Linked DNA regions of Macaca fascicularis. The protein of the gene in region 3 interacts with the protein of the main gene of each other region in a pairwise test. Links are inferred from orthologs where the notes say so. Each region holds a gene or a part of one and is shown on either strand. Other genes may lie near its edges.

What was found.
Region 1: the proteins of UBE2E1 (region 3) and RNF25 interact in binary tests that used the Homo sapiens proteins (3 or more experiments, as listed by UniProt). The link is inferred for Macaca fascicularis from reciprocal best matches to the Homo sapiens genes UBE2E1 and RNF25.
Region 2: the proteins of UBE2E1 (region 3) and CNOT4 interact in a two-hybrid assay, tested with the Homo sapiens proteins (2 studies listed by BioGRID). The link is inferred for Macaca fascicularis from reciprocal best matches to the Homo sapiens genes UBE2E1 and CNOT4.
Region 4: the proteins of UBE2E1 (region 3) and RNF111 interact in a two-hybrid assay, tested with the Homo sapiens proteins (2 studies listed by BioGRID and IntAct). The link is inferred for Macaca fascicularis from reciprocal best matches to the Homo sapiens genes UBE2E1 and RNF111.
Region 5: the proteins of UBE2E1 (region 3) and ZNRF2 interact in a two-hybrid assay, tested with the Homo sapiens proteins (2 studies listed by BioGRID). The link is inferred for Macaca fascicularis from reciprocal best matches to the Homo sapiens genes UBE2E1 and ZNRF2.
Region 6: the proteins of UBE2E1 (region 3) and ZNRF1 interact in binary tests that used the Homo sapiens proteins (3 or more experiments, as listed by UniProt). The link is inferred for Macaca fascicularis from reciprocal best matches to the Homo sapiens genes UBE2E1 and ZNRF1.

The regions. Positions count from the first base shown.
Region 1 is NC_088386.1:114,598,910-114,604,126, forward strand, and holds the start of RNF25 (E3 ubiquitin-protein ligase RNF25), read right to left. Parts: upstream 3,203-5,217; 5' UTR 3,171-3,202; coding exon 3,130-3,170; intron 197-3,129; coding exon 122-196; intron 1-121. Other genes in the region: STK36 (serine/threonine-protein kinase 36), read left to right, coding at 4,031-4,114, 4,831-4,971, 5,085-5,162. UniProt on the Homo sapiens protein: E3 ubiquitin-protein ligase that plays a key role in the RNF14-RNF25 translation quality control pathway, a pathway that takes place when a ribosome has stalled during translation, and which promotes ubiquitination and degradation of translation factors on stalled ribosomes.
Region 2 is NC_088377.1:177,181,294-177,186,531, forward strand, and holds the start of CNOT4 (CCR4-NOT transcription complex subunit 4), read right to left. Parts: upstream 3,170-5,238; 5' UTR 2,956-3,169; intron 1-2,955. UniProt on the Homo sapiens protein: Has E3 ubiquitin ligase activity, promoting ubiquitination and degradation of target proteins. Involved in activation of the JAK/STAT pathway. Catalyzes ubiquitination of methylated RBM15.
Region 3 is NC_088376.1:24,464,429-24,468,418, reverse strand, and holds the end of UBE2E1 (ubiquitin-conjugating enzyme E2 E1), read left to right. Parts: intron 1-993; coding exon 994-1,141; coding exon of another isoform or gene 1,142-1,260; exon of another isoform or gene 1,261-1,629; intron 1,630-2,414; coding exon 2,415-2,512; 3' UTR 2,513-3,208; downstream 3,209-3,990. UniProt on the Homo sapiens protein: Accepts ubiquitin from the E1 complex and catalyzes its covalent attachment to other proteins. Catalyzes the covalent attachment of ISG15 to other proteins. Mediates the selective degradation of short-lived and abnormal proteins.
Region 4 is NC_088381.1:35,458,711-35,463,638, reverse strand, and holds the start of RNF111 (E3 ubiquitin-protein ligase Arkadia), read right to left. Parts: upstream 3,017-4,928; 5' UTR 2,610-3,016; intron 2,565-2,609; exon of another isoform or gene 2,274-2,564; intron 1-2,273. UniProt on the Homo sapiens protein: E3 ubiquitin-protein ligase. Required for mesoderm patterning during embryonic development. Acts as an enhancer of the transcriptional responses of the SMAD2/SMAD3 effectors, which are activated downstream of BMP.
Region 5 is NC_088377.1:99,987,675-99,992,599, forward strand, and holds the start of ZNRF2 (E3 ubiquitin-protein ligase ZNRF2), read right to left. Parts: upstream 3,179-4,925; 5' UTR 2,418-3,178; coding exon 1,958-2,417; intron 1-1,957. UniProt on the Homo sapiens protein: E3 ubiquitin-protein ligase that plays a role in the establishment and maintenance of neuronal transmission and plasticity. Ubiquitinates the Na(+)/K(+) ATPase alpha-1 subunit/ATP1A1 and thereby influences its endocytosis and/or degradation.
Region 6 is NC_088394.1:70,818,244-70,823,146, reverse strand, and holds the start of ZNRF1 (E3 ubiquitin-protein ligase ZNRF1), read right to left. Parts: upstream 3,141-4,903; 5' UTR 2,499-3,140; coding exon 2,075-2,498; intron 1-2,074. UniProt on the Homo sapiens protein: E3 ubiquitin-protein ligase that plays a role in different processes including cell differentiation, receptor recycling or regulation of inflammation. Mediates the ubiquitination of AKT1 and GLUL, thereby playing a role in neuron cells differentiation.

The DNA.
Region 1 (5,217 bases), on a different chromosome or scaffold from region 3:
GTCTACACAAGAGAAATATTATCTCTGAATCAAGGCTTACACTGTCTTAAGACCCAGATTCGGCATAGAACCTCTCCTCATTACTAGGGGGACTCCTGCCCACCGCTGGTTGAATACATACCTGCCATTTCCTTTAATCACCTGTAGTTCATCCAGATAGATGGACTCCAACACTTCAACTTCAGAGGGAAGGACCCTAGAGAGACAGGAGTAGACTGACTTTCCATTACAACTCTCCCTGTGGAAGCCTGCTAAGGCCAATAAACGCGGGCTTTGTAGAAAAATGGCAATCTACCAGAATGCATTTTCCTGCTAAACTCCTTAAAAACAAGGAAAATGTTACCTTAAGTTTTCAACTGGCCAAATAGGAGGCACAAAAATCAGAATTTTAAGCATTATTTCTGCCAAGAGATGAAGAAGTGGATTCCAGAAAAATAAAATGACTAACCAAGGCTTAACATAGGTAGAACTGGGCCCAGAGTCGGGTTTCCTGACTCCCTGTTTAAGTTTCATTCCCCTTAGTGGCTGACTTTCTGGTCTAGAGGTATGGCACCCATTTACTAGCATTAACGTTACCAATATTACTCCAGCCTTTCCCTACATCAATGTCCAGTGTGGATCCCAGTGCCTTGGCTACCGTCTACATACACTTTTAACACCAGTCACCCTAAGCCTTCTTAAAGGAGATAGCAACCTCAACACAACAGGTCTAGGGTGGTGTAAAGGCTGTGTTGTAATGGAAAAGCCAGCAGCCTCGGAGTTAGTAACAGGTACCAATCACTTACAAGCTATGCGATCTGGGAAGTGACCTCTCTGTAAGCTTAAGTTATCCTGTCTATCACATATAGATGATAACACCTACTCTCTAGGGTTACTATGAGGATAAAAGGTGATTTGTTTATATAAAGTACCTAATAGTATCTGGGCTATAGTAGCTAGTCTACATCCTCTTTTTCTTCCCGTCTGTATATAACCTTCTCCCTTAGAAGGAAGAGGGAAGGAGGGAGGTAGTAGAGTACTCTGGATGTATTTATGACCCTGGCTGTCTGGTTGATCTACATCAGCCTGTTGAGGTTAGCATCCATGTTCCGATGTAAATCAGAGGACACACATGCTTAAGCATAGAAACAGTAGTTGTATTGAAATTGAAGCTGAGTGATCAGTTTGTGTCTACAGCTCTACCAGGTGATACATGGAAAAATGCATACTTTCCTTTCTCATACTGCTCTCTCTTCATTCTAAGAGTAAGGCTGCTCCAGCATGACTTATGTCAGTTGTTGTTAAGTCTTAGGCAGAAACTTCAAAATATAAAATACAAAGCTTTACACCTCACAGAAAATAGTGTAGTTTTGGCTGACATGGGATGGGAGTCTCACAGCACTACAGGCTGCTGCACTCACTGTTGTTCTCTCCATGGCTCAAGGTGTCTCCCCTGAATCTTAAAAGTTCCCCTGAACAGGTCAACTATAAGTTATCCCAGCACTTTGGGAGGCTGAGGTGGGAGGATCACTTGAGGCCAGGAGTTCGAGACCAGCCTGGGCAACAAAGCGAGACTATCTCTACAGAAAATAAAAAATTAGCTGGACACAGTGGTCCCAGCTACTTGGGAGGCTGAGGCAGAAGAATCGCTGGAGCCCAGGAGGTTGAGTCTGTAATGAGCCATGATCTTGCCACTGTACTCCAGCCTGGGTGACAAAGTAAGACTCCGTCTCTTAAAAAAAGAAAAGAAAAAGTTTCCCTGAACACTTTGAAAACCAGTAGTCTAGATAGTCTTAATAAAGGCCAGTACTAGCAGGGCTCCCTGAACCAATGTAACACTGAGGTGTAGCCTCAGTCAAGTGGCCCTTCAATACTTTGCCTACCCTAGTTATGTGGGTCCTGGATGGGATGCTGGTAAGGTGGTGACAACAAAATGGGGGAGAGGGGATTGAAGAATGTCCTAGTATAAAGAATCTAAGGTGTGGAGTCAGATAGATGTGGATTTCTAGTCGCAATTTTCCACCTTTTGGCAAATCACTTTACTTCTTTGGGGCTCATCTAATCTTCCCAGGTGCCTGCACCTCAGTTATTAATGAAAAGGAGGCCGGGTGTGGTGGCTCACGCCTGTAATTCCAGCACCTTGGGAGGCTGAGGTGGGAGGATCACTTGAACCCAGGGGTTCAAGACCAGCCTGGCCAACATGGCAAAACTCTGTCTCTACAAAAAATACAAAATTAGCTGGGCATGGTGGCACAGACCTGTAGCCTCAGCTACTTGGAAGGCTGAGGCAAGAGGATCACCTGAGCCTGGGGAGGTTGAGGCTGCAGTGAGCCATAATCGCACCACCGCACTCCAGCGTGGGCGACAGTGAGACTCTGTCTCAAAAAACAAAACAAAACAAAACAAAACAAAAAAACAGACTTAAGTATATTACAAATCCATCGTGATCCTCTCAACTATTCTGAGGTAAATACCACACCCACTTTGTTTTTACAGCTGAGGACACTGACTCACAGAAGCTAGATGGCCTGGTCAGCATCACACAGCTAATAAAATGCGGAGTTAACCCACATTGATCCTACTTCCAAATCCCAGAGTCCTTCCATGTTCTAGTCTTTAGTTAAGAATGCTTGAGAGAAGGACTAGAGGGACTTTATGTGAGGTGTAAAGCTTTATTCAGACAATAGTCCTCACTAGTGCTGTGTGGGAGAGAGAAGGTTGAGGAAAGCGTCGGCGGAAAAACGCTGATCCAAGGAGAAAGGGGTACCGAACCGGAGGGCACTAGTTCTGAGAGGCGAAAGGGAGATGGGGAGGTCTGACGGGCAGGCATCCCCCAAAGCCCCTGAGAAAATTCATTTGAGGAGCATAGAAAGGGATAGCGTGAAGCTGGAGGAAAGGGGATCGAACCGGATAAGGCGAGGCCTGAACTGGTCTGGCGGGCGCAGACCCGGTCTCTTCTCACTCAGATCAGCGCCCCTCCACCCTCCCGTTCCCCAGTCTAGAAGATCTCCCAGAGGAGATGTCAGCATCTCTGCCATCCCTCATCCTTCGCTCCACCCCACACGCCCGCCGTACGGACCGTCTGCGACAGCTGCTAGGCCTCTGGACTAGATCCAGACTGTCAGCCAAAGCCCATGCCCCCGAAGTTACCAGTCCTCCTCCCCTGCAGCTGCAGACGCAGACGCCGCCATGTCTTCACCGGCCCGCAGCCGGAACCGGAAATGCCCTTAGGGAAGTCGGAGGCGGAAAACTAAGAGGGGTGGGCAGCTAGCGTCGTTTCTAGGCAACCGCAGACTCCGGGTCCTTAGCCGGGCCTGACGGCCCAGAGGCAGTTCGGATGCGTCCCAGGAAGTGCCCATGTGTGGTCCGCCGTCCCTCCCACACCTCTGAGCGCCTTTGTCCTCTGAACTTCTCACCAGTTCTAGCGAGTGAAATTGTTAGAAAGGGAGCCAAAACAGACTGGCGCGAGGGGCGGGTGGAGAAGAATTGTAAGTCAGGCAACGTATGCAGGCAGCCAGAAGATATGGGGCTAAAGGCCAGGGAATCCGTCCCTGGGCCTGAGGAGCTTGGATCTCCTAGGCTGGGGATGAGAGAGGGACCCTGGCTTGCGAAGCGCATGGGCCAGGGGGTCTGAGAGCAGGTGCTGAGGAATCTGGGAGTGGCAGGAACTTGGGGGAGACTCGAAGGAGCAGGGTTGGGTGGGCGATGCTAGGTTAAGAGAGCAGGGTCGAGTGGGCCAAGCTGGGTGAGGGAGAAGGGGGACCAGGTGTCAGGTGGGCATGGGGCCGGGTTGGGGACAGGAGGCTGAAAGTGGAGAGGAACTACAAAGAGATGCTGTGTTTGTTCCAAGATCGCATCACCTTTGCGTCATTCTACCCTCCCATGTTTTTTGAGGCTTGGTCTTTGTGAAAAAGAGAAAAGGCAAGGTGGCTAACATTTTTCCTTTCCCATGCCCCAACTAGGCCTCCCAGATGTTGTGGAATTGTCCCTGGATCTATAGCTCTTCACCGTCTCTACCTTTTTCCTTCTAAGAGATTCTGAAACCTCTGTCATGGAAAAGTACCACGTGTTGGAGATGATTGGAGAAGGCTCTTTTGGGAGGGTGTACAAGGGTCGAAGAAAATACAGTGCTCAGGTATTGTACAAAGAGGGATACCTTTTGGGTGGGATTTGGTACCCCCAACTCCAGTGGAAAATGGGTCTAGAAGGGATGTATGTATACCAGTTTATATTCCTAAGGCATTGACTCTCTCATACTTCTTATGGAGTATAAGCTCTGAAGTTGTATTATTTGGGTATAAGTTCCATCTCCACCGCTTTCTAACCCTAGAATTATGGACAAATTACTTAACTTCTCTATGTCTCAATTTCCTCATCTCTAGAATGGGGATAAGAACAGCAACTGATTGATGGCATTTGAGATTAAGTATGTTGTCACATTAAATCAGTTAGTACAGTGCCTGGCTCTTAGTAAACAACAAATATTATTATTATTAGTCTCTAGCACACCATGTAGTAAGAGGTAAACCACTTGAACTCTATTATTTCCTCTTAATTTTTTTTCCTTTCCTTTCCCCTAAATCTCATCTTGACTGCTTTGGTCAAATCAGAACACTTCTCCTAGAAGGTGAGATGTTTTGCCCATGCTGTTTCCTCCTGGGATGAGGAGTGGGGAAAGCCTGGATACGGCCAGGGTACCATGGAGAAAATGGAAGCGGGAGACTGACAGAAATAATAAGAGTTACTCAAACACTCTAAAGTCTGACTTCTGGAGCTCTGAGATTAAGTCTGAAATTCTGGCTCTTTTCAGTAGTGTGATTAGGCATTAACTTTTCACCTTACCACTGACAGGTCGTGGCCCTGAAGTTCATCCCAAAATTGGGGCGCTCAGAGAAGGAGCTGAGGAATTTGCAACGAGAGATTGAAATAATGCGGGGTCTGCGGCATCCCAACATTGTGCATATGCTTGACAGCTTTGAAACTGACAAAGAGGTGTGCTTTGACAGTTTTGGGCCCTGTCTCCCCAAGCACAAGGGTTCCAGGAATTTCCCAACCTCAGAATATATGAATCTGGAGCCATCAGTGCCACTGCCTTCTCTCTGTAGGTGGTGGTGGTGACAGACTATGCTGAGGGAGAGCTCTTTCAGATTCTAGAAGATGATGGAAAACTTCCCGAAGACCAGGTATGCTTCCTGCCTTCAACTTCCCACCACCAACCTCTCTCCAGGTTAGGAACTG
Region 2 (5,238 bases), on a different chromosome or scaffold from region 3:
ATAGATTCCTTTTAAAGCCAAGAGTAGAGTGGGGAAAAAAGGGAAGATTTCTAAATCCAAACTGCTTAAACTGATAAGATTTTTTTTATTCCTTTAAAGCACACAAAATCATTTTTAAAATAAAACTCCCTTAAAGCTAGGAGTTCATCCTCTGGCAACACCCTCTTTCTTTAACAAAGTAATGAGTTGCAAGTTATCGCTAGTACTCCCTTTTAGACTCAAGTTGAAGGGCAATACAAAAACAATTTTATTTTTCTGTACTTCGTTATTTGAGTATAACTGTCTCATCCTAATTTTATAATAGGCCAACTTTAAGCGATTCATATTCGAAACATTCTTACAGAAATAATCTATTGATCTCAAGAATTCTACTATTGAACCTGGTAGAAAGTATTCCAAATTATCAAAAGAAACCATGAAAGTATGAAGCTGTAGCGTTCATAACGTTAGATCAAAAAACTTAAACCACACAAAAATATTTAGAAATCTCAGCTCCCTATTTCTTATCAAAATACTAAAGAACTTTAGATGTCTTCTTTAAACGTACTAAAGATACAAAAGTAAATTCCTTTTGACTTCAGAGGGCCGAAATGAAGAATTCGGTAACTGCAAGCAAAAAGTATGAGGGGAGAAAATTACTTGAGAAAATATTTCGTGAGACAAACACCATTTAAAAAAAAAAAAAAAAAAGACGTATTAAAATCATTTACTCCCTTCTACCAGACAAACAGTCCTCTCCTAGAACTCAACTGCTTACAATTCAGCCAAGTATGATTGCCAAGAGTTTCTAAACCTGTGTTAGGATTGTTCAAAGTGGAAAGCTTCTCCACCAGTGTATTACAACAACAAAAAGTATATTTTTTAGAGTTAAAGATCAACAATTAAATACACTCCTCTGATAAACTTAATGTAAGCGATTTAAAAAAAAAAAACTCAAGTTGTAACTTAGGACAAAGTTTGCTATATAAATTGCTTGCAGTTCTAAGAGTATTTATTTGGTCCCCCAAATTGGGGCTTAAGTGGCTGAAAGAAAAAAGTTTTATAGACAGGTTTTCTAACCTTAGTTTACATTTGGTAAAACAGACCATTTATCACAATCAAGTGAACATAATGCCAAATGTTAAGATTCCAAATTTTACAGGTAAAATTTGTAAAAATTACAATAACCCACTAATGGACTGCCACATGAGACTGTCACTGATGTTCAACATTTTTACATATATCTTAAGAATGCAATGTCATGTATGTCATGTTCAAACTTGGGATGTATGTATTTGCACTATGTAATCCTGGTTGCTTTTCTGGTAATTCTTTATCTCACAGTGGTCTGATTATAGCCAGGGCTGCTTCTTCTCATTATACCATTAGTCAGTATATCTTAATTTTGCTTTCACCAAAACATGGACATCATAAGCCACCTCTTGCTTCTAGTTTTCTGCTTTTTACTGTAGATAACAATGACAGTGAGTTCTACCAAATGCATGTATGTGCACAGCTTTGTCATTCTTTTCCCAGCCCCCTTCTTTTCTATGAGAAAAATACGAGAAACTTAGGTTTATATAAAAACATCGATTTTTCTTTTGCATACATACCTAATGGATTTTCAAGAGAAGACAATTTATTCAGATAACTATCATCCTAGAAATGTCAAGAGAACTTCCCAAATCCAAAAATAAGAAGTAAATCTGATAATAACTGGAAAGGAAATTTCCACTCAAATCATAAATAAAATGTCATCAATTAAGCTGAACATCAATAAAACTCAGTCAAAAATCAAGTCTCAATACAGAACCCACATATAACCCACATATAATCAAAATATCACTTATATTTGCTGGCGGAGTTCACAGATGAATTCTGTATGTGCGCCAAATTTATCTTATTTTGAATTGCTGGGGTTAATATTAGTATAAATCAGAGCCCACACGAAGTGTCCTGGGCAGAGACAATCCAAAGAACGCTTAGTAGCATGGTAAAAACCGGTCCAAAATGAAAAAAAAAGAAAAGAAAAAAGCCACGTCCTAACACAACAGAGCGAATAAGCGACAAATAGATCACTGAAAGCAAAACGAAAACGGTCCCCTCCGGAGTAGACTGAATAAAAGATCTTTACTCATAACGTTTAATACTATCCGACCTCACTTCATTCACTTCCCAACTTCCTTTACTTTTCAAGGGCCACCACGGGGCATCCCTTTTTCTGGAAGTGTATATGGAAAGGATCTGTACAGGAAAGAGGGAAGGAACGGACAATTCTCAAGAAGGCTAAGAAACAGGTGGGTTAGCAGGAGCAGAAGCATAATCTAGACACTTAAGGGGCAGCTTTAAGATGACAGATGTGGTGGAAGGAAAGACTGCAAATCGGAAGAAGCCCTAGTGTGGCAGATACACTGTGGGCTGATTGCAAGCACCAAAGGGGGGCAAAGGCTAACTCCAGAGTGGTAGCAGTGGAGCAAAAAACAAGCAGCAGGACGGGTGGGCAATGAGCAGTGGGATTAACGAGCAGCAGCAGCAACACGGGTCAGAGTGGAAGTGATGGCTTTGGTCTTGGGAGACGGGGGCCAGTGGGAAAGGACGTCAGACAGGGAATAGGGGGTTGGGGAAACAAGGAGGACTGAGACCTAAGAATCCTGCCCCTATGAAAATGCAGGGGGCAAAGCTGGAGACCAAAAGCCGCCTCGGCTCCCCAATTAAAGAAATTCTCGAAGGAGAGTCGCTGCTTGCCGCCGCGCTGCCTTCTGACCCGCTCGCTTTTCCTGATGGTAACTGCTGTGGCGTAAAGAGGAGAGGGAGGAAGAGGAGGAGGAGGAAGAAGACCAAGGAGGAGGAGGGTGAAGATGAGGCGGGGGGTGGGGAGAAAGGGGGGTGCGGCCTGTACAGTCCCAGCGAAGCCTCCGCTCTCTCGTAGCCGGTCAGCCCCGGGTTTCCCCTAAGCCCAGCCCCGCATAGACTCACCCGCCTGCCTTGCCTCGCTTTTCCCTCAGCCGACTCCACGCGCTGCCGCGTCCTCACAAGAAACCACCGAACGAGCGTCGGGGAAAAAACTCTTCAGAACCGGGCCTGATTGCTTCAGCGAGTCCGACCTTTACGGCTGAGAGAGAGACTCTCAGCTTTCGGTGGGTTCCACAGCCAGACGGGCCACCATCTTACATTAGGGTAAGACTCCTCCGGCCTCCCGTGCGCAGGCGCACGCCGATCCGGCCAGGAGGGGCGGGGGAGGGGCGGGAGGAGCGGCGGGCGGCTGAGTGGGAGGTTGCGGTGGCCGCTCCCGCAGCACCCTGGGAGTTGGAGTCCTCGGAGGGTAACCGCCCAGGGGCACGCCGGGAGTTGAAGTCCTCTCTCAGAGGGCGGAGGAGATCGCCCACCTCACGTGGCTGCTGGACTGAGCCTTTCTTCGTGTTTTGCTTCCTTCTCTGCGCGCGTGTGCTACTTCAATGTCATTTGGTCGGCGGTTTTCACTAGTCATTCTGTGTCCTCGGTGTTTTTGGAAATGTGCGACCCCAAGACTGGGGCGAGGCTAGACAATTTTTCTGGGAGCCCGGAATGTTTCTTCTCTGCCCCGCCCACCAGGGATATCTAAAGGGGGCGGGGTGGAGGTGGAGGCAGGTTGGGGGTACGAAGAGCGCGGGATTTGATCTAGGGTAAGAATTTGATACAGACTTGGCGTCTGTTTGCGAAACAAGGAGGAAACAGACGCCCGTTTAATTCATTTCCCTGTCCTTGCGCATTTGGGGGCCACCACCCTTGATACCTTCTTCACTGTAAAATCGCCGGTGAAGAAATATACTAAATTGTTCTGTGCAGATTACCCAAGAGAACGGAAGACCCGTGCACTTACAATAACGTGCTTCGGTTGATGTGAATTTGAGAATTTGCAGACCTCTGTGCGAATTAGTGTTAGTTCGCTGTCCTGCCAGCACAGCTGTGTGCAAGTTGACAAACTCTACACACATCGGCACATCCCCAAGAACAATGAATGCAGCCACAATCTCTACGAGCACTGAGGAATCATCAGTCACAAACGTCAGTCAATGTACTGGTCGCTCCCGTTTGCATCCCAGAACTCTGGTGAAAGCGGCGCTCGAAGCAGTAATTTTTGCTTATTGCATGTATTCTTCACCCACTCATACAGCAAATACTCAATGAGCTCCTCCTGGCCGCCGGGTACTCTTCTATATATTGAGAACACAATGGTGAGCAAAATAGAAAAAATTCCCTGTCCCCATCCTAGTGATATGTTGGGATGAGGAAGAGGAGAGAGGAGGCATTTTTTAAAAAATACGTGATTAAAATGCATAGTATGTCATAACCGATTTTAAAAACTTAGGAAAGGGGAGTAGGGAAAGAGGTTGCAGTTTTAAATTTATGAACTCAATGTCATAAGAAGAAGCCCTCATTTCTTTTTTCCTTTTTTTTTTTTTTTTTTTTTTTTGAGATGGAGTTTCTCTCTATCTCCCAGGCTATAGTGCAATCTAGGCTCACTGCGCTCACTGCAAGATCCGCCTTCCGGGTTCACGCCATTCTCCTGCCTCAGCCTCCCAAGTAGTGGGACTACAGGCGCCCGCCACCAAGCCTGGCTAATTTTTTGTGTTTTTCAGTAGAGAAGGGGTTTCACCGGTCACCCAGGCTGGAGTGCAGTGGCGCGATCTCGGCTCACTGCAACCTCCGCCTCTCGGATTCAAGCGATTCTTCTGCCTCAGCCTCCCGAGTAGCTGGGATTACAGGCACGTGCCATCACGCCAGGCTAATTTTTACATTTTTAGTAGAGACAGGGTTTCACCATGTTGGTCAGGCTGGTCTCAAACTCCTGACCTCAGGTGATCCGCCTGCCTCGGCCTCCCAAAGTAGTGGGATTACAGACGTGAGCCACTGCACCCGGCCTCATTCTTTCAATACATTGGTTTTCTGTGTTTCCGTTTCCTCACTATCAAACCTAGAGACAACAGTTATTTGGGTAAAAATTAAAATATGTAATGAAGTCACATTTTACCCAAAGTTTGAAATTATAGAATCATGAAATGATTACCTAGCAAGGAAACTTGGGAAATTATTTGGATTTCCCTTTAGGTAATTAAATGCCTAAACATTCAATATGGTTGACGTTTTTATTTAAAATGTATGTTTATTTTTCTTGTATATATTACCAATTTTATAGTAGGATATAAACAAAGTAATGAAAAGAACAAAATAAAAAGAAGCCTTCCCATTATGAAAGATTAGAATCATCACAGTAAAAAC
Region 3 (3,990 bases):
TGCTCAATTCCTTACCTCCAGGCCTCAGTTTTCTTTCTAGGAGAGGTGGGGATTGCCCAAGTCACCCAGCTCTTGTACTCACCCAAGTCACCCATCTCTTGTACTCAATCTGTGATTCTCATTCAGTCAGAAATAAAACGCAGTCTTTGGGGATTAGGTAGACTGCCAGATAAAATACAGTTGCAGCAACAAGAAGTAATTGAAAGTCACTTTTTTAAAAAACTGGTAAAATTACAGGTAATTTTTACTTTGTGTTTTGGTATATTTCACAAATAAAAATTAAGAGACCAAATAACACCTGCTCATGTGGCTTGTGTTCTGCTGTGGTCCTTGCCCATTACTGGCTCTGCATCCATGGACACTCGATTACATAGATAGTAAATTCTGTGATTTAGGTAGACAGGATGTCTGTGGGACCTGATGTAAAGGTCAGAAAAAAGCAGAAGTAGACTTCTCTTCAAATTTTGTTCAGCTTTTTGGGTGTAGTCATTGTTTGCTAAGTATGTTGTTTAATTATCTTTAGGTACCTATTATGTTGCACTTCAGTTTTTAAGAGAGACTTACGATTTTAAATATTTTAAAGCTTTTAAGTATTTTAAAGCTTACTTTGAGGCAGTGTAGTACTACCAGCTAGCACAAGAGGTCAGCAAACAATTACCTATTCAGACTTGGAAATGTTAATATTTAAAAGATTTAAAATTGCTAAAGATAAAATTAGGAAGTACTGAACTTACCATCAGGGGACGTAACATTTTAAATGAAATTGACACAGTCCCTGAGATGGTCAGTGAACACTTTCTAATCAAATTTATTAAACAAGTCTATCTTCTTGACAGCTTTAATTAAAACTGCTTTTATTCACCTTTTTAAAAACTACCTATCTGGGAGTTTTTTTTTTTTTCTTTCTTTCTAATTAGGGTCATTCAGTTGAGTATTTAGTAAAAAGTGTGTTTGCTTTTTAACTATTGTTTGACACTTCCTTGTTTTCCTTAGGTTACATTTCGGACAAGAATCTATCATTGTAATATTAACAGTCAAGGTGTTATTTGCTTGGACATATTGAAAGATAATTGGAGTCCAGCACTAACCATTTCTAAAGTCCTCCTTTCTATCTGCTCACTTCTTACAGACTGTAATCCTGGTAAGGTTAATAATTCTTTACCTTGTTTTATTCTTCCTCACCTGAAAAGTACTTGTTTCCAAAAGCTTTCAAAGGACAAAACTAATTTTTCTGCAAAACTTTATGAATATAAAAACTAATCTGCTTTTCAAAGAAAGTTTTAATCGAGAAGTTCAGTCTACTAGTTGAGACATACAACTTCATTAATCAGTATATTCTAGCAACAAGGTATTTTAAACTGAAGACGAAGTTTGCCTTGGGCTTTTACAGTTTCAGTTATTCTTCCCTCTATTTTTTTTTTTCCTGTTGCTTAATTTCCCATATAGTTCTTATAAAACAAATCATACACTTCTAAATGCCAAGTCATCTGCCTGGCAAGCCTCACCTTGCCTGTGGGGTTCAGTGGGCATGTGCCCATAGCTGGTCACTGAGATGGCACTCAGTTTTGAAAATGGTATTTGTTAAATACTTAGTGACTACTGAATTGTGACTTTTTTGGGACTTCATTTCATTTAAAAAATATTTTTCTGTAGTCCCAGCTACTAGGGTGGCTGAGGTGGCAGGATTGTTTGAACCCAGAAGGTCAAGGCTGCAGTGAGCCATGAGCATGCCGCTGCACAGAACTCCAGCCTGGGTGGCAAAGTGAGACCCTGTCTCAAAAAAAAAAAAAAAAAAGTGTGTATATATATAAATATATATATGTGTGTATATACACACATATATTATTTATTTTCTAGGTAAACCAAATATAAATTTAGTTATTAAAGATCCTAAGATTCAGAGAAATACTATACTTAATTGGAGGTCCAGGTTTTGCCTGGCAACCTGGCTCTTTAACCAGTGTAAAGGTAAATAGTGTTGCATTGCAACAGCCCCGAAGACTTCACAGTATTCACAATGCCATAACTGGTGACACTGAGCTAAGGGTCACATCAACACAGTTGGATGTTCATTGTAGTCTGGAGCCTTGACCGTTCCAGTCTCCACTGAACTCAGCCTAACACATAAGAGTAAAGAAACTCCAATCGGGTGGTGTTTATTGGGAGAAAAATGGAATGAACTAAGATACAGACAGACCAGTAAACTAAAGCCTGAGCATTCCCTCTTCCTCCCATGTTACGATTTTTAAATTTTTGATGGAAAAATATCCGGCATAGTGGAGTGGTGTTTCGAAGATGGGTTTGATCACACATACTTGGTTGTACATGTCTGCCCAAGCTGTCACTAATGTATTTGCTAAAGTTTAAAATGTTCTTTTCCTTTCTCCAAAGTAATCTACATTCTTTTCTTCCAGCCGACCCCTTGGTGGGAAGTATTGCCACTCAGTATATGACCAACAGAGCAGAACATGACAGAATGGCCAGACAGTGGACCAAGAGATACGCTACATAAACTGGGTTTTCACAATTCTTACATTATTTGTCACAGAAGAGAGCTGCTTATGATTCTGAAGGGGTCAGGGAGGGTGGGAGTTGGTAAAGAGTAGGGTATTTCTATAACAGATATTATTCAGTCTTATTTCCTAAGATTTTGTTGTAACTTAAGGTATCTTGCTACAGTAGACAGAATTGGTAATAGCAACTTTTAAAATTGTCATTAGTTCTGCAATATTAGCTGAAATTTAGTACAGAAAAGAATGTACATTTAGACATTTGGGTTCAGTTGCTTGTAGTCTGTAAATTTAAAACAGCTTAATTTTGTACAGGTTACACATATGGCCATTTATGTAAAGTCCCTCTAAGACTACATACTTTTTGTTTAAAACAAAATTGGAATTTGTTTTCCCTTCTTGGAAGGGAACATTGATATTTAACAGAGTTTTTAGAGACTGTCATCTCATATATATAAAATGGACACGTGGCTGTAAGACACCATATAGGAGATGAGTAATGTGTTTTATTTTATATGCCAATCTACTTTGTTTAAAAAAGGTTTAAATCAGGACTTGTGAAAACCTGTAGTGAAATACCTTAAGCTGTTAACTGTAAGGCGTGGAATAGGAGTTGCTCAGTGGATTGGTTATATGTTGTGGACTACTTAAGTCTGCATTTGTTACTGTGCTAATAAACAATATTAAAAACCGCCTAATACTGCTGTGTTCATTTACTTTTATTTTGCCTTTTGGTTGCTGTTTGCAGATTCTTCTGAAATCGATAGGTATCTGCTTCTAAAACAAGCTAAAAATAATGCATATTTAGTAGGTATTATTTACCCATATTAGGATCTGTACTTTACACAGCTGTAGATGTTGAGGTATCCTAGACAAGGTTAAATAATCTACCCCATTTAGGCTTCAAAGACGAACCCTACTGCATTTTTTTTTAAAGCGTTTTCTGACTTGCAGATGCTGTAGTAGCAAGTACATGGGAAATGGGTTCTGTCAGGGATAAACTGGTACACTGCCGTAGGGGGCATTTTGGCAGTACCTAAGTATACACATGGCATGACCCAGCAGTGCTGTTTCTGTGTGTCTTTCATTACAGAATTTAAAAAGAATTGGTAACTCTGTCTGTACTAATATAGACTAAGTTGCATTAGCAGGAAACAAAACAAACTGGAAGGTACTTATTTAAAAATCATTATGAAAGCATTTGTCCATCTATGTAACATGTATGGAGGGAAAAGCTAGATTAATATTCAATAACTGGGGGAAAAGGTAAGGGGTGAGTTAGTGTCTGAGTGGTAATTTTTTGACCAAAAAAAATGAATTTATGATGAGAAATTTTGAAGAATTCTACTGTAGCAGCAATAGCTGATTTATAAGTATTGTCTTTTATATGTAGTAGTTCTTCACTTGAGCTCATGAAAAAAAGTATTCCATTTAAGATGTTACAAATTACTTGATGTTTTAATATGTTCTTTGCTGAATA
Region 4 (4,928 bases), on a different chromosome or scaffold from region 3:
TGTTTTGAAAAACAGTCTCGCCCTGTTGCCCAAGCTGGAGTGCAGTGAGTGGCACGATCTCAGCTTACTGCAACCTCCGCCTCCCAGGTTTAAGCCATTCTCCTGCCTCAGCTTCCCAAGCAGCTGGAACTACAGGCACACACCACTAAGCTTGGCTAATTTTTCGTATTTTCAGTAGAGATGGGGTTTCACCATTTTGGCCAGTGTGGTCTCGAACTCCTGACCTCAAGTGATCCACTCGCCTTGGCCTCCCAAAATGCTAGGATTACAGGGGTCAGCCACCACACCTGGCCCTCAGTTTCATCATAGGTTTTACACACACACATTTCATGAGGAAATTGATGCTTTCTGTACAGCATTTCTTTCCGGGGATTTGATTACGAAGAATAAAACAACGAATACCAAAAACCTAACTAGATATACAAACCGTTAGATTTGGGACCTAGAGAAAACCAGTTATCTATTCTACAATTCTCACTTAAACAGAGAGACCTGAAGCCCAAGGAGGGTTAACAATAAACTCGGGGATCTAATGTATAGCAAGCAAAGATAGATCTAAAATCTAGATCTTCTGTCTCTAGTCCTATATTATTTCATAAGATAATGTTACCCATAGAATGTTAATGTCAGGTTATAACATATTTTAACTTCTATCATTTTTCAGATAGTCTCTTTTATTTCCTACTGAAGTCTTAGCCCAAAAGGGGAGAAAAAGGCAAAAGAAGGGCACGTAAGTATGCCTCAAGTAAAGCATAATACAGAAACCCCTCTTTAAACTATAACAACAACAACAACAAAAGCATCTAAAAATCTAAACGGTTTGATTCAATTAGTTTCTTTTATATTTTTTATTTTAAAGTAAAATAACTAGGAGTATCTGCTAAATGACTATACCTTAGCTTTATACAAGCAAGGTACTGTTCTCTTAAACATTAGAATAGCTCTCTCTCAATAATCTGTAGAAACGGAGTACCACAGTGAAATTCGTTAAGGTGTAACCTCTTTTGTAATGCATTTTTCACCAAAATGGAGTCACTTTGTTTATATCTTTCTTTAAAAACCAATTCTATGTCAGGTGAAATAACTAGCAAACATGTGGCCAACAGACACCAAACAAAAGTTAAAAAGTGACAGAAGGATCTGCACATGATATAGCACTCGTGATAAACAAGGGGAGACTCACTCTTCCTACTTTTTCCTATAATATTATTTAGACCAATTTACAAACACCCTCATCAATTCTTAGAATACTATTGTGAATCTTTGGTCACAAACAAATGAGCAGGAGAGAGATGATAGTCATCTGTCCAAGGTTAAATGGCAAGAAAGTGTCCAAAATAAGATAAATCAAGGCTTTTAAAAAAAATCAACATAAAATTATTTTAAAAGTAAAAGGACCTCCTTCTTATCCATCTGTTTTACCTCACAAACATAACCAGACTAGGGTGAAACAATGTGGCTTATATTGACATGAAGATTTTTACAAAAATACATACAGTAACAAACGATCAAAAGGTGTATCTTTACTGTAATAAAGCTAAGTCCAGTGTTACAGAACTTGTGTATGGTAATCTCAAAATCACATTCAAGCATTTACAAGCATCACACACACACACACAAAAAAAACAAAAATGAGAAAGGAAATGGAACCTTAGCTTATCTTTTCCCAGTTTGTTCTTTTTAGTTGAAGAGGCCCCTAAAACAAGAAAATTATAAATAAAATACCAAATGAAATAAAGTTTAGATTGTCAGGTTCAAAAGCTACAGGAACTCCTACAAAACGTAGTCTATGTCAGTTGGCATCTTACCATTCAAGAGAATTCTACATTAATGCCGCACATAAATCAAAAAACAGGAAAGCTTACAACAATACAATGGAGTCACCCCACACTATACACATGAACAAATTAAATGAATACCCTATACTTCCTGGTATTTTTTGAATAATCAAAACTTACACTTGGGTTGAGAAATACCCTCTGTAAACATCTACTATAACCTATTTAAGAACTGTTGTGACAAATCTATTTCTGCTGCACTGAACAGATATTCCCACTACAGCACTGACACTGTCTCTGATAAATTATCTAAGGACAATAGTAAAAACATTCAGCTTCTTTTTAAATGACCAACAAGACAACTCCATACAAAATCAGACGCGTCTGTATTTCAGCTGTTCCGCGGACTACGTTTCCTTGATCACAGCAGCAGCAGGCGGCTCCCTAGCCGTCAGGGCTGACTTAGCGCCCCCCAACTCCCCGGGTCCGGGTTACCTTCATCACTCCATTGTCAAATCGCACTCCTACGCCTCGGTCCTCAGCCCCCATCCTGAGACTCTAGGGAGAGTCGGAAGAGGGAGAGAAATCCCCTCACCCACACTTCCTCAATGTAGGCTGTGGGTGTGTCGGTAGACGAAAGCCTTGCCCAAACACAAATCGTCTGCGGAGACCCAGACCCTAAATCACCACTGAGCCAGAGATAACCGGCCGGTCGCCGACCCCAGCCTTCCGCGGCCGCAGCCCTTCCTCTTTCTCCCCTCCAGGCCGGCCCCTCCCCCGTTGCGCGCACGCGCGGCCTCCAATGGATCCCCTCCCCCCTGTTCCCCTCACCTTAATCATTAGCCACCCTCTTCTCTTCCAGGGTCCGGGAATCACTGACCCAGGAAGGAAGACAGAAATGTAAGGCGTAAAGAGTAATGCGTCGAGAGCCAGCGATCTGCGCCTCAGACGTCGGCCTAACAGGCCCCTAGAGTCAAGAGCAGTGTCTGTCACCGCCACCAAAACTGTACGTGCGGCAGCGCCTGGACTCGGCCCAGCTAAGCCGGCGTGGGTTCAGAATGCCTAATTTGGTCCCACAAGAACTCCTTCTCTGAAGCTGCGGGCGTTTCTACGCTGCGCAGACCGAACACCTCCTCGCCGTCGCCGCCACTGCCGCTGCTCCCCTACCGCCGCCGCCGCCGCCGCCGCCGCCGCCGCCGCCGCCTAACCAATTCCTCCCCTACCGAGGAGAGCACGACACTAGGGGCCTTTACGACAGTTCGGAAAGTGAGAGCGCAGTAGCCTTCACGCCTCCATTAACATCTGTTTGGTTCTGCGCTTGCTCGATTCCCGTTTCTCACCGTCCCGCCCCCTCGGTCCCGACCCTCCCCCTTTGTACTGGTTTTATCAGTCTGTTGGCGAAACTGAAAGGTGTCACAAAGCTCATTATTTAATTTTCTTTGGTAATTATGCGTTCAACATTTAAGCCAAATCTTGACTACATCTTGGTTCATTTTTTCGTAACTAAAAATTAACCAACCACAGAAATTACTATATTTACAGATACACGTAAACAGAAACATCATGAGTTAGTGTCTTTCACAACAAATGATACCCATATCATATGCGCTAATTACATAAAGATCAGGGCACCTCACTGTTAATGCTTCCGGAATCAGATCAAAAGTGGTAACAGATACCTCCTGCGAACTCGGGCTGTACAATCGCATAAGCCTCCTTGTTTATTTTATAAAAGTCAGTAGATAACAAATGCGTCATTATATGCATTAGGAGGATAGACAGAGGATGAGCCTTAGAGTCCATCAGGCAGACTTCCTTTCGAAAGTCCAGTGATGCCACTTAAGAGTTCTCTGATTCATGAGATCCTTATAAATCTTAGTTTCCTCCTCTATAAATTGGGAAAACGTATTGACCTCAAAAGGTTCTTGTTAGATTAAATGAGACAGTTTATATAATGCTCTGAACATTACTCGCCACTTAAGTGTGCACTAAACATTAATTCCCTCCCTTTGCCATCAACTCATCTTTTTCAGTACTTTTTTTGTTCACTCATATTCTTCACATCGTTCAGCAAACAAATGATTTTGGCCAGGCGCGGTGGCTCATGCCTGTAATCCCAGCACTTTGGAAGGCCGAGGCGGGTGGATTACCTGAGGTCAGGAGTTCAAGACCAGCCTGGCCAACATGGTGAAACTCCTTCTCCGCTAAAAATACAAAAATTAGCCCGGTGTGGTGGCGCACACCTGTAATCCCAGCTACTCGGGAGGCTGAGGCAGGAGAATCGCTTGATCCAGGATGGTGGAGGTTGCAGTGAGCCACGCTCAAGCCTTGCACTCCAGCCCGGGTGACAGAGGGAGACTCCGTCTCCAAGAAAAAAAAAAAAAAGGCCTGGCGCGGTGGCTTACGCCTGTAATCCCAGCACTTTGGGAGGCCAAGGTGGGCGGATCATGAGGTCAGGAGATCGAGACCATCCTGGCTAACACGGTGAAACCCCGTCTCTACTAAAAATACAAAAAAATTAGCCGGGCGTCGTGGCGGGTGTAACCCCAGCTACTCGGGAGGCTGAGGCAGCAGAATCGCTTGGACCTGGGAGGCGGAGGTTGCAGTGAGCTCACGATTGTGCCACTGCACTCCAGCCTGGGTGACAGAGTGAGACTCCATCTCAATTAAAAAAAAAAAAAACACAAATGATTTTATAATTACAATAATAATCGAGGAAAGCAGACTGGGTGGGGAAACTAAAAGAGCATTTGATTAGGATTTTCCTCAATCCTCCTATTTTCTCACTCTTAAATGTAGAATTTTGCCCGGACTTTCTTATCTTCCCCTATGGTTTTCACTGTTACTATCTCATGACTTCTCAAACCTGTATTTCCAGCTCTAACCTTTTTCCTAAAGCTTTTGACCTGTGCTTTTCAATTAGGTAGACACCAGCCACATGTGGCTGCTGAGCATTTAAAATGTGGCTAGACCCCCTCCTGTTCTCCCTCTCCCCTCCCCTTTTCCTTTTCCATCTCCCTTCTTCAAAAAGAAAAAAGAAAAGAAAAGAAAAGAAAAAAGTGACTAGTACAAATTGAGAAGTGCTTTAAGTGAAAAATCCATATCAAATTTCAAAGGTACAATACAAAAAAAAAAAAAAGACTTAAAAAT
Region 5 (4,925 bases), on a different chromosome or scaffold from region 3:
ATACATAACTAAAACCGTCCTAAATGCACTGGAGCTAAAAGTTAAAATGCATTGCACACTACAGCACAATTCTCTCCACAAAGCCGGTTGAGACACGCTGCTATAAGTTCCTCAGAAACTGTCACTGTACTACTAGGTCCCAGTCACCCAACCCCAACAGCACTAAAAGAACTATAGTGAGTGCACAAACCTAGAACTTAGATAAGAAAAAAGATAAATGCTTTATCTCCAACTTTAAGCAACTAGGTATTTTGATTTACTCATTTACTAGGAAGCATGAAGCTCAACTGTTTGTCCCTTGCTCTGAACGGAATGCATTTACTTAACAAAATAAACCCACAGAAATATAATGTTTCTCAAAGGGAATTATCAGCTCTTAGAAAATGAATTTTTAAAAATGAGCATATTAAATAAATATTAACTATTAACTTGACAAGGCTTTTCCTATTCACCCTTCTTTAGCAAACTTAAATATTCACCTTCTGATAACTGCTAAATGCAAATTTTCACTTTAAAAATATAAATATTAAAAACCAGTTTGCTCTTCAATCTCACACTAATCACCAATTCTCAGAAACTGCCTTTTATATTCTTCAATGTGGACTACAGCAACTTCAACTGGTAGGTTAGTTGTGATCAAATCACTTTAAGGACACCAGTAGATTTCCTTTACTCAAAAGCAAATGACTTTTTAAAATGGCCCAATTTTAAGAGGGATGCATATTTTTAAGCAGCAAAAATTACTTTAAAACAAGGTAGCTAATTAAAAGTCAAGCATCATTCCATATTGAATGTGCAAAGCGTTACTAAAAGATGGGAAAAATTAAACATGACATTCTTATTTTTAATTTATGCTGGCGTGTATGCTGATAGTACAGAACATTAGAAGAGATAAATTACTATGTATTCCACTTTACTAAGTCTCCACTCAAAGTTCCTACGTTTACAAACACATGAGTAAAAGAGGCACAAAAATGTAGGGGATGCTGTTTTCGCTGCTAATCTGTGCTCAGCTGCGAATTCTTCTAATATCGGATGCATAATGCGATGAAATGGGAATGCTTATCTTCTATATTTGTATTTATTTTCATAAATCGGGGAGGGGAGGTGGTCTTGATTCATTTACTATTAGCGTTTTGCAATAAAGTAGATCAGCATAAAACACAACTGAAGAAGAATTCATTTTCCCAGGACAATGCACCCTTCCTCCTGTTTCTATAGTAAAGCCATCTTTTGCTATTAAAAATGCCCATTTTTCACAACTGACTTTTCCTTAACTCTAGTCAACACTGCTCTTCAAAAGAACCTAGTAGGCTGATTTGCAAAATTTTTACTTCCTTAGGAAATTTTTCCATTTTCTAAATGTTTTCCAAATTAAGTAGGACTCACATTAACTGTGACCTTAAGTAGCGGTTTAGTGAGGTTTAAAAACAAACTTTTCATTAACGCATTCATACAACTAAAGTGACATAGTAAGTGGGACTGACACAGATTTAAGGATTATAGCTTTATATTAAAAGTCAGTCCAAAGATGGTAACTCAGCGTTCATTCGAGACCCTTTGACTTTTGGCCTTTAAAAACTGTTCCCCACTGAGTCCCCAGACAGAACTACATTTAGCAAAGGGTCTCCTCCTGACTTCCTGGTACTAAAAGCCACAACCACAAGGGCTGTTTCGTCTGTTTGTTGTAAAACAACATTTGCTCCAGTCATCTCTATGGAAAACAGACTTTCTCTACCGGGGAGCCGCTGAGGTGAGGGTGCTCACGATGTTTAAAAACCAAACCACGCGTCTACGCGATAGCGGCACCGCAGGAGTTAAGTGCCGGGGGTTTCTTCCCAGGATGGAGACCTGCCCCGCCGAAGGAGAAAAGGAGAAGGGTAAAAATAGCCGGCGGCCACGACCCACGTGCAGCCGCGGGAGGACCGAGCGCGGGCGCGCGGAGAGGGGTCCGTACCTCCAAACATGTGCGGCGAGAGGTGAGCTGGTAAGGAGCCGATCACCAGGCGCGGCCCGCCGGGGCTCCCGCCCACCGGCCGGTCCCGGCCGCCGCCGCCGTCTTCAGGGCTGCTGTGCACCGAGTCCTGCGAGCCGTAAGGGCCGCTGCTGCTGTTCGGGATGCTGAAGGAGGACTGTGCCGCGCGGGCCCCCGACGCCACGCTCCCCACGGCCCCGCCGAGGGAGCGGCTGCGCGGAGCTGCTGGGGCCGCCGCGGCCGCCGCGGCGCCGCCTGAGGCGCTGGGCTGGTGAGCGCTGGGCACCTGAGCCGGGAACCTCCCAGCCGCGGCAGCCCGAGCGCCCCCGCCGCCGCCCGCGGTCCCATTGGCCCCTCCACTGCTACTGGAAGGTAGATCCGAGCCCGAGTAAGCGCGCGTGCGGCCGTTAGCGGCGGCCGGGCCGCTCTGCTTGGCGCCCATGTCCGCCCTGCCCTGGGCCGGGCCCGCGCGCTGCGCCCCGAAAGCCGGGAGGGCGGGAGCGAGCGCAGGAGCTAGAGGGCAGGGCCGAGGCGCCGCGGCCGGCCCAGAGAGGCCCCCGCACGTCCAGGGCCGCCGCCCGGCGCCCCGAGGGGCAGTCGGCGCCCGGCGCGCTCTTCTCGGGGCAGTAGGCGAGGCCGGCGGCCTGACGCGGGCGCAGGAGACGAAGAGACGCGGAGAGGAAGAGGTCCCGGCGGCTGGCACCCCTCGCTGGCTCCAGCAGGAACGGGCGGCTCAGGTGGCCGTGCGGCTGCCGCTGGTTTCGGTTCTGGTGCGCCACGACGGGCTGCTGCCGCTCTCTGCCGCCGCGCTCGGCGCCCCGGGCCTCGGCACCGCCTCCTCTCGGGCGGCCGCTGCTACCGCCGCCATCCTCCGGCTCCCACGGCGGCTGGCGGCTGAGTGGGAGGCGCCGGCCCAGACTCCGCCGGGGCCACCTTCCCTCCTCCCCCAGCCACCCAGCTGTTATTAACGGAGAAAGAGGAAAAACGGGTGGCGCGCGAGGGGAGGACGAAGAATGGGAGGGAGGGGTGGCGCGCGCTTCCCGGCAACCGTCTCCTCGCTCCCCCTGCGAAGGAGGGGCCGGACTGGCGGGAGGATCTGGGCCGCGAAGGTGGGGGTGCCCGAGAGGGGAGGAGGTGCCCTGGCCCTCGCGCCGGAAGACCGCGGAGCGGCGCGGCGGCAGGGTGCGCCCAGCCCGTGTGTTTGGGTCGCGCGCGGTGACCCCGCCCCCGCCCCCTCGCGCCGCCGGGCCGATTGGCTCCTGCCGGCCTTGCTCCGCCTCCCCTGGCCGCGACCTGCCCGCCCCTGCTCCGCCTCTCCAAGGTACTGCGGTGTGGTAGGTGCTGCCACCCGTGGACTCGGTGATGGACAGGTGTCTGGCCCCGCCCCGCCAGCCAGGGCGAGCCCGTGTCTTCCTCGCGGGGCCTACGCTGATAGGAGGGACGGACACCCGGCGCCAACCAGAAGGCGGCCCCTCCTCCCGCATGTGGCCCGCCGACGCTGGAGGAGCCTGTGTCAGCTGCAGCTTTTCCTGGCAGGGGGCGTGAATGGCTGTGTCCTGTGCCCAGAGCCATTTGGTTTCGGTGGGTGTTGGTGTTACACACTGATTTAAAAAACAGAATCTCAAAAGCCAGCTTGATCTGAATTAGACTCACTCGTGAAACACCAACCTGGGAGGAAGCGCAGAGTTGGAAGAACTCGGGATAATCCAACTTGACCTTCCGTGGTAGGGCAAAAACCGTCGTGCCAGGAATGCTGCACCTGACTCACAAAACCTAAGATCTAGGCCCAACACCAAACTAAATTATGTGTAGTGAGCAAATTATTTTACTTTTTTGGACTTCAGGTTTGTTTTTGTTTTTGTTTTTGAGACCGAGTCTCTTGCTTTTTTGGACTTCAGGTTTGTTTTTGTTTTTGTTTTTGAGACCGAGTCTCGCTCAGTCACCCAGGCTGGAGTGCAGTGGTGCGATCTCGGCTCACTGCAACCTCCTCCCGGGTTCGAGCGATTCTCCTGCCTCCTCCTCCAGAATAGCTGGGATTACAGGCGCGTGCCACCACACCTGGCTAATTTTGTATTTTTAGTAGAGACAGGGTTTCACCATGTTGGCCAGACTGGTCTCGAACTCCTGTCCTCAAGTGATCCACCCGCCTTGGTCTCCCAAAGTGCTGGGATTACAGGTGTGAGCTACCGCACCTGGCCGACTTTTTGTGTTAAATCCTAGGGCACCTGCATCTTTAAGATCCTATAACTTCTCTAAAATTGAATGTAATAAAATTCTCTTCAGTGCATTCCTCGGTGTTGGTGTGGTCTCTTCACGGCAGAGTGGGGTCTGGATACCCAGGGAATAGCCTGCTCTGAGACTCCCATTTTGAAAATGTCTAGTCTCTACTTGAAAATAATAGCAAGTGGTGTTTTATGAAACTACAGAAATAAATACTTTGCCATTTTTCACTATTTGCAATAAGTCGTTTATGTAATGATTTTCATCACTCTTAGGGTATGGGAATCAAGTTTTTAAACAAATGGAGAATATATGTATACATATAAAGACATGCATCGTGTATCTATGTACACAAACACACATATTTAATGGAAAAACAAAGGTACTCAGTGCTTTATATGCAATATCATGTTAAGATATGGTCATTATTCGGGCAGATCACAAGGTCAGGAGATCGAGACCATCCTGGCTAACACGGTGAAACCCCGTCTCTACTAAAAAATACAAAAACCTAGCTGGGCAAGGTGGCGGGCGTCTGTAGTCCCAGCTACTCGGGAGGCTGAGGCAAGAGAATGGCGTGAACCCGGGAGGCGGAGCTTGCAGTGAGCTGAGATCTGGCCACTGCACTCCAGTCTGGGCGACAAAGCGAGACTCTGTCTCAACAAAAACAAACAAAAAAAAGATATGGTCATTATTAAATCTTTCGCCTTTTACTAAAGATTTCCGTGGA
Region 6 (4,903 bases), on a different chromosome or scaffold from region 3:
ACACCCCAGAGGGCATTTGGGAGTTCTTGGGGACATTTTGGGGTGACACACTGAACTGCTGGATGCTATCAGCATTTAGTAGGTGGGGCCAGGCATGCTCAATGTCTTGCAGAAGGACATGATGGTCCTACACAGTAAGGAACAGATTACCTACAATATTAATAGCAGCCTCCCATACACGCTTTTGACACCCTTCCCCAAAGGATTAATGTGCTCCAACTTTCCTGTCCCCACAGTTCAGTGGCTCTCCCTACTCTCACCATAACAGGATGAAAAAAAATAAGCTTTCACAGCTTAGGACTGAAATTCTGGAATCCAATTATAAGCTCATAACTTTAGCATGGAACCTGGCAGTAGCATAATAAATAAATTTTTAGTAAGAGACAGACTGAAGAAATTTCAGCAAAAAAAAAAAAAAAAAAAAAAAACTCCCTTTCTTCCTCCCTACATATCTCATATTTTTCAACACACAAAATTCTGTGATTTTAGAGAAACTTCGTATAGTGCTTTTAAGTTCAAAACCAGATGCTCATTACAGTTCTTTTAAACACCTAACCAGTCATCTCAAAAATATGGCTAACTCTCTGAACTAAATTTCATAGGAAAGATTATTAATTTCAAAATGCCTAATTTTGATCAAATGCCTGAAAGAGCCAAAGGCAATCATGTTTTGCATCTCATTCAGGTCAGAGTTCGATGAGGTCAGAAAAGCTCCAATGATATCCGGAGGTCTGTTCAGAGATTAAAATATCATCCTAACAATTCACAAGCTACTTCTAAGGGTTACCCTAAATTAGTCACTAACAGTTCGTCCCCCAACTCTATTTCACATAGTTTATAGAATTGACAAAAAACCGAACCAAATGAAAACAAACCCCAGGATATTTGCAGGGAGGGGGAAAGCGATACCCCAAAAGTCAACCCTATTTCACAGTAGGTAAAACAGTGATCCACGAGATATTACCCTCCATAAAGTACCCTAAAGGCAGGAGCAATCTTTCCCCTACACAATATCTAAATTTTCCCAACTCACCCAAAAGAAACTTAAGATGTAAGTTATTCACTCAACTTGCCAATTAGCAAACAGCGGCCCCACACACCTTTTGGCCAATTTTCTAGAAGCCTGACCTAGCAGACAGACCTGTTTTCCTCCTGCCAGGCCTTTTTAGCCCTCCCAGTAGGAGCCTGGGAAATCCCCCTCCAACCTTTTGCTGGCCTGTCACCAGAAGTTCATAAAATGAATTCATCCAGATTCTCTGAATCCTCCTTTCCCCCAGTCATGTGCCAACAGTCAGGCAATAATGCCCCACCTTGACAGGCTCCCTGTTACAAAAAGATGCAGATTCACGGGAAGACCAAGCACTTAGCATGGAGCAGAAGAAAAAAGATGGAGGGAGGTGAGAGTCGTGGAGCCAAGTCTGCTGCATGCAGTACGGGTGACCAGAGCCCTGGTCCTGCAAAGCCCCCGCGAGACTCGCCGGCTGGGCCCTCCGTACAGCAGCCACACCTGTCTATGCCAGCCGCCTGCCGGCTGCTCCATTTTAAACATTTCAAACAGATCTCCAGCAGGGTGGCAAAACTGGGCACCTCTCTCTCCCAGCAAGAGTGAGAGCCCTAATCCAGGCATCACTCGCCCCTAATTTTATTTCATTTTCATACTCTCTGTTTTGGAGACACTGCTTGCTCCAACTGGCTCCATCTCTCCGTTACTGGTGAGGCAGGCACAGTGCTGCAGTGGCAGAATGGAAGCACCCAGGCTGACTTGCTCTCAGCCAGAGAAGACCGCTTCTCTGAGGAGGGAGATGCCAATAAATGGGACTCCAATAGGTAGGCTTCGCTCTGCCCTTCCACAAGTGAACACACGCCGGGAGTCCTACATCGCCAGGCTCCGCAACCTTGCAGAAAGCCTAGTTTCCAGAGGGTAGGTATCCCATTCATCCCTTGGCATCGGGAACCAAAGGGAAGGCAGACAGATCCCGGTCGTGCACTATATTCCCAAACCTTGGCACGCGCGCGAAGGCTTGGGGCGCCCCGGCGCGCCCTCCCTCCGAGGCCTCCACCACCGTGGACTCACCACTGTGCGAGCTGAACCACCTGGGTGCGATGTGCAGAGGTAGAGCATCCGCCAGCGAGGCTCGGGAGCCCAGGTACAGCATCCCGTCTCTATGGTGACTGCCGCCCGTCTCCTGGTAACCATTGCCATGGGCATAGGTGGAGTCGGACGCGGACCCTCCGCCGCCGGGCGCCCTCTCAGAGTCGCCGGTGCCCCGGGAGGCGGGGGTGTAGAGGCCAAAGGGCACCCCCCCTGCTGTGCTGGGGTCCATGCCCATGCCTGCCACCGAGCTGACCGAGCGGCTGCGCAGCCCCATGGCCCCGCCGCCCGTCCGGTAGTGCCCGAAATGGGGCGCCCCTCCCGGCGGCGGCACGGCGCTGTCATCGGTGGAGACCCCCGGGAAGGGGCCCCGGGAGCGGGTCGCCGTGCTCTGCTTGCCCCCCATGCTCGCCCGGGCCCCGGTGGGGCGGGAACCTGGAGGCCGAGACCCTCCCCCACTTCTCAGCAGCGGGGGGAGGGCTGGGCGAGCATAAAGAGGGAGGGAGTCAAAAAGGAGACCCGAAGGGAGAAAAGAAAAAAGCAAAAGAAAAAAGGAAAAAACCCGCGGGGCGGAAGAGGCAGGCGGGCGGACGGGGATCCCAAACTCAGAATTTCAAACGATCCAAGCCAAACGCACGTTTCCCCTCAAGGTCCAAAGAGGCGCAGTCCGGCGCGGGCTCCGCGCGCCACAGGCCGCCCCCGGGCTCCGAAAGCCGGGGGAGCCGCAGGGAAGGAGGGAGGGAGGCGGCGGCGAGAGGCAGGCGGGCGCGGGGAGGCGCCGGAGGAGGCCGCCCGCCCCGCGGGAGGAGGAGGAGGACCGGGGGCGCCAGGCGCGTCCCCCGCCTCAGGACGCCGCGACCATGGACGGCGGCCCGGACCTCTCCAGGCCTCGGGCGGGCCGCGGCGCTGGGCGGCCAGGCGCAGCTCGGGAAGCCGCGGTCGCGTCGTGTCGCGCTCTCGCTTCAGTCGCCGCCGGCCCCGCCAGCCGCGCCACCCCGCTCGGTCCCGGGCAGCGCTTGCCGGCGCTCCTGGCCGCCGTGGAGACAATGGAGGGCGGCAGAGCGCAGGCGCGGCCTGCGCCCCCTCCCCCTCCCCCCGTCGGGTTAACCCTTTCGCGGCCCCTGCGGCGCCCGGGCAGCTGACGCCCCAGCAGTCCCCACCCACCGCCCGCCCCCGGCCGGCCTGTGACCTGGGCGGCCTGAGCCACTGGGCGTTAGCCACAGAAACCAGATGTCTTTGAAAAGCAAACACTTCTTAAGTCCCCGAAAATGGCAAATTATTCAGGGGGAACCACGTATGGGGGAGGGGCAGCAATGGTTCGAGGGGGTGGGAAGGAAACACCGGGAAGAAGGAGATTTACTCCTTACGCCTACCTGGCTCTGAGGGTCACCAGTCGAGCTCCCCTCCTGGCACAAATTTGCCCCCACAGCACCCTCTGGTGGACGTGATGTCCATTCTTTCGGGGGTTCCCCATCCAAGCACCCCTCAGGTCCGGAATCTCAACATTTGGCGGGGTTTAGCTATTTGGGGGTAAACAGCGCCATGGGGACACTTGTGAATCCGGAGTGTTGCTGACACTAGGTCAGAACTTCCTATTTTGGGCTTAAGCAAATGAGTAGATTCCTTAGCTAAAATGTAATTTTCAGAACCAATAGAGGTACCATAAAATGTGAATAGATATGGATATGGAAATAGAACAACGTAGCTAGAAGTGATTATAGAAACCTTCTGTCCAAGGTTGGAGCCCTGTTTTGTTTACCATGTTCTGTGTTTCGGCCTACACCACGGCCAAGGACACGGTGGGTACTCAATAGGTGTATTGTTGACCAAGCCTGCATCATTTTGCAAGGGAGGGTTCCTTTGATACCTCAGTCCGTCTTTCTCTCCTATATTCACATTCATTCAGCGAACAATTGTTTTTCTTTTTCTTTTTTTTCTTTCTTTTTTTTTCTTTTTTTTTTTTTTTTTGAGACGTAATCTCACTCTGTCACCCAGGCTGGAGTGGAGTGGCCTAATCTCGGCTCATCGCAACCTCCGCCTCCCAGGTTCAAGCGATTCTCCTGCCTCAGCCTCCTGAGTAGCTGGGATTACAGGTGCGTGTCACTGCACCCGGCTAATTTTTTGTATTTTTAGTAGAGACAGGGTTTCACCATATTGGCCAGGCTGGTCTTGAACTCCTGACCTCAGGTAATCCGCCCGCCTTGGCCTCCCGAAGTGTTAGAATTACAGGCGTGAGCCACCACACCTGGCCTGTTTTTCTTTTCCTTTCTTTCTTTCTTTCTTTTTTTTTTTTTTGAGATGGAGTCTTGCTCTGTAGCCCAGGCTGGACAACCTCCGCCTTCCAGGTTCAAGCAATTCTCCTGCCTCAGCCTCCTGAGTAAAAGTCTGTTAAAAATTTGAAAATCAGGCCAGGACATGGTGACTCGCTTGTAATCCCAGCACTCTAGGAGACGGAGTGGGGCGGGGGGCGGGGGGGATCACCTGGGGTCAGGAGTTTGAGACCAGCCTGGCCAACATGGTGAAACCCTGTTTCTACTAAAAAACTAAAAATAGAAAATAAATACATTAGCCAGGTGTGGTAGCTCACGCCTATGGTCCCAGGTACTTGGGTAGCTGAGGCAGAAAAATGGCTCGAACCCGGGAGGCAGAGGTTACAATGAACTGACATCACATCACTGCACTCCAGACTGGGCAACAGAAAGAGACTGTCTCAAAAAATATATATACGTACATACATTAATATATAGTAGAGATGGGAGTTTCCCTATGTTGCCCAGGCCGGAACTCCTGGCCTCAAGCAGTCCTCCCACT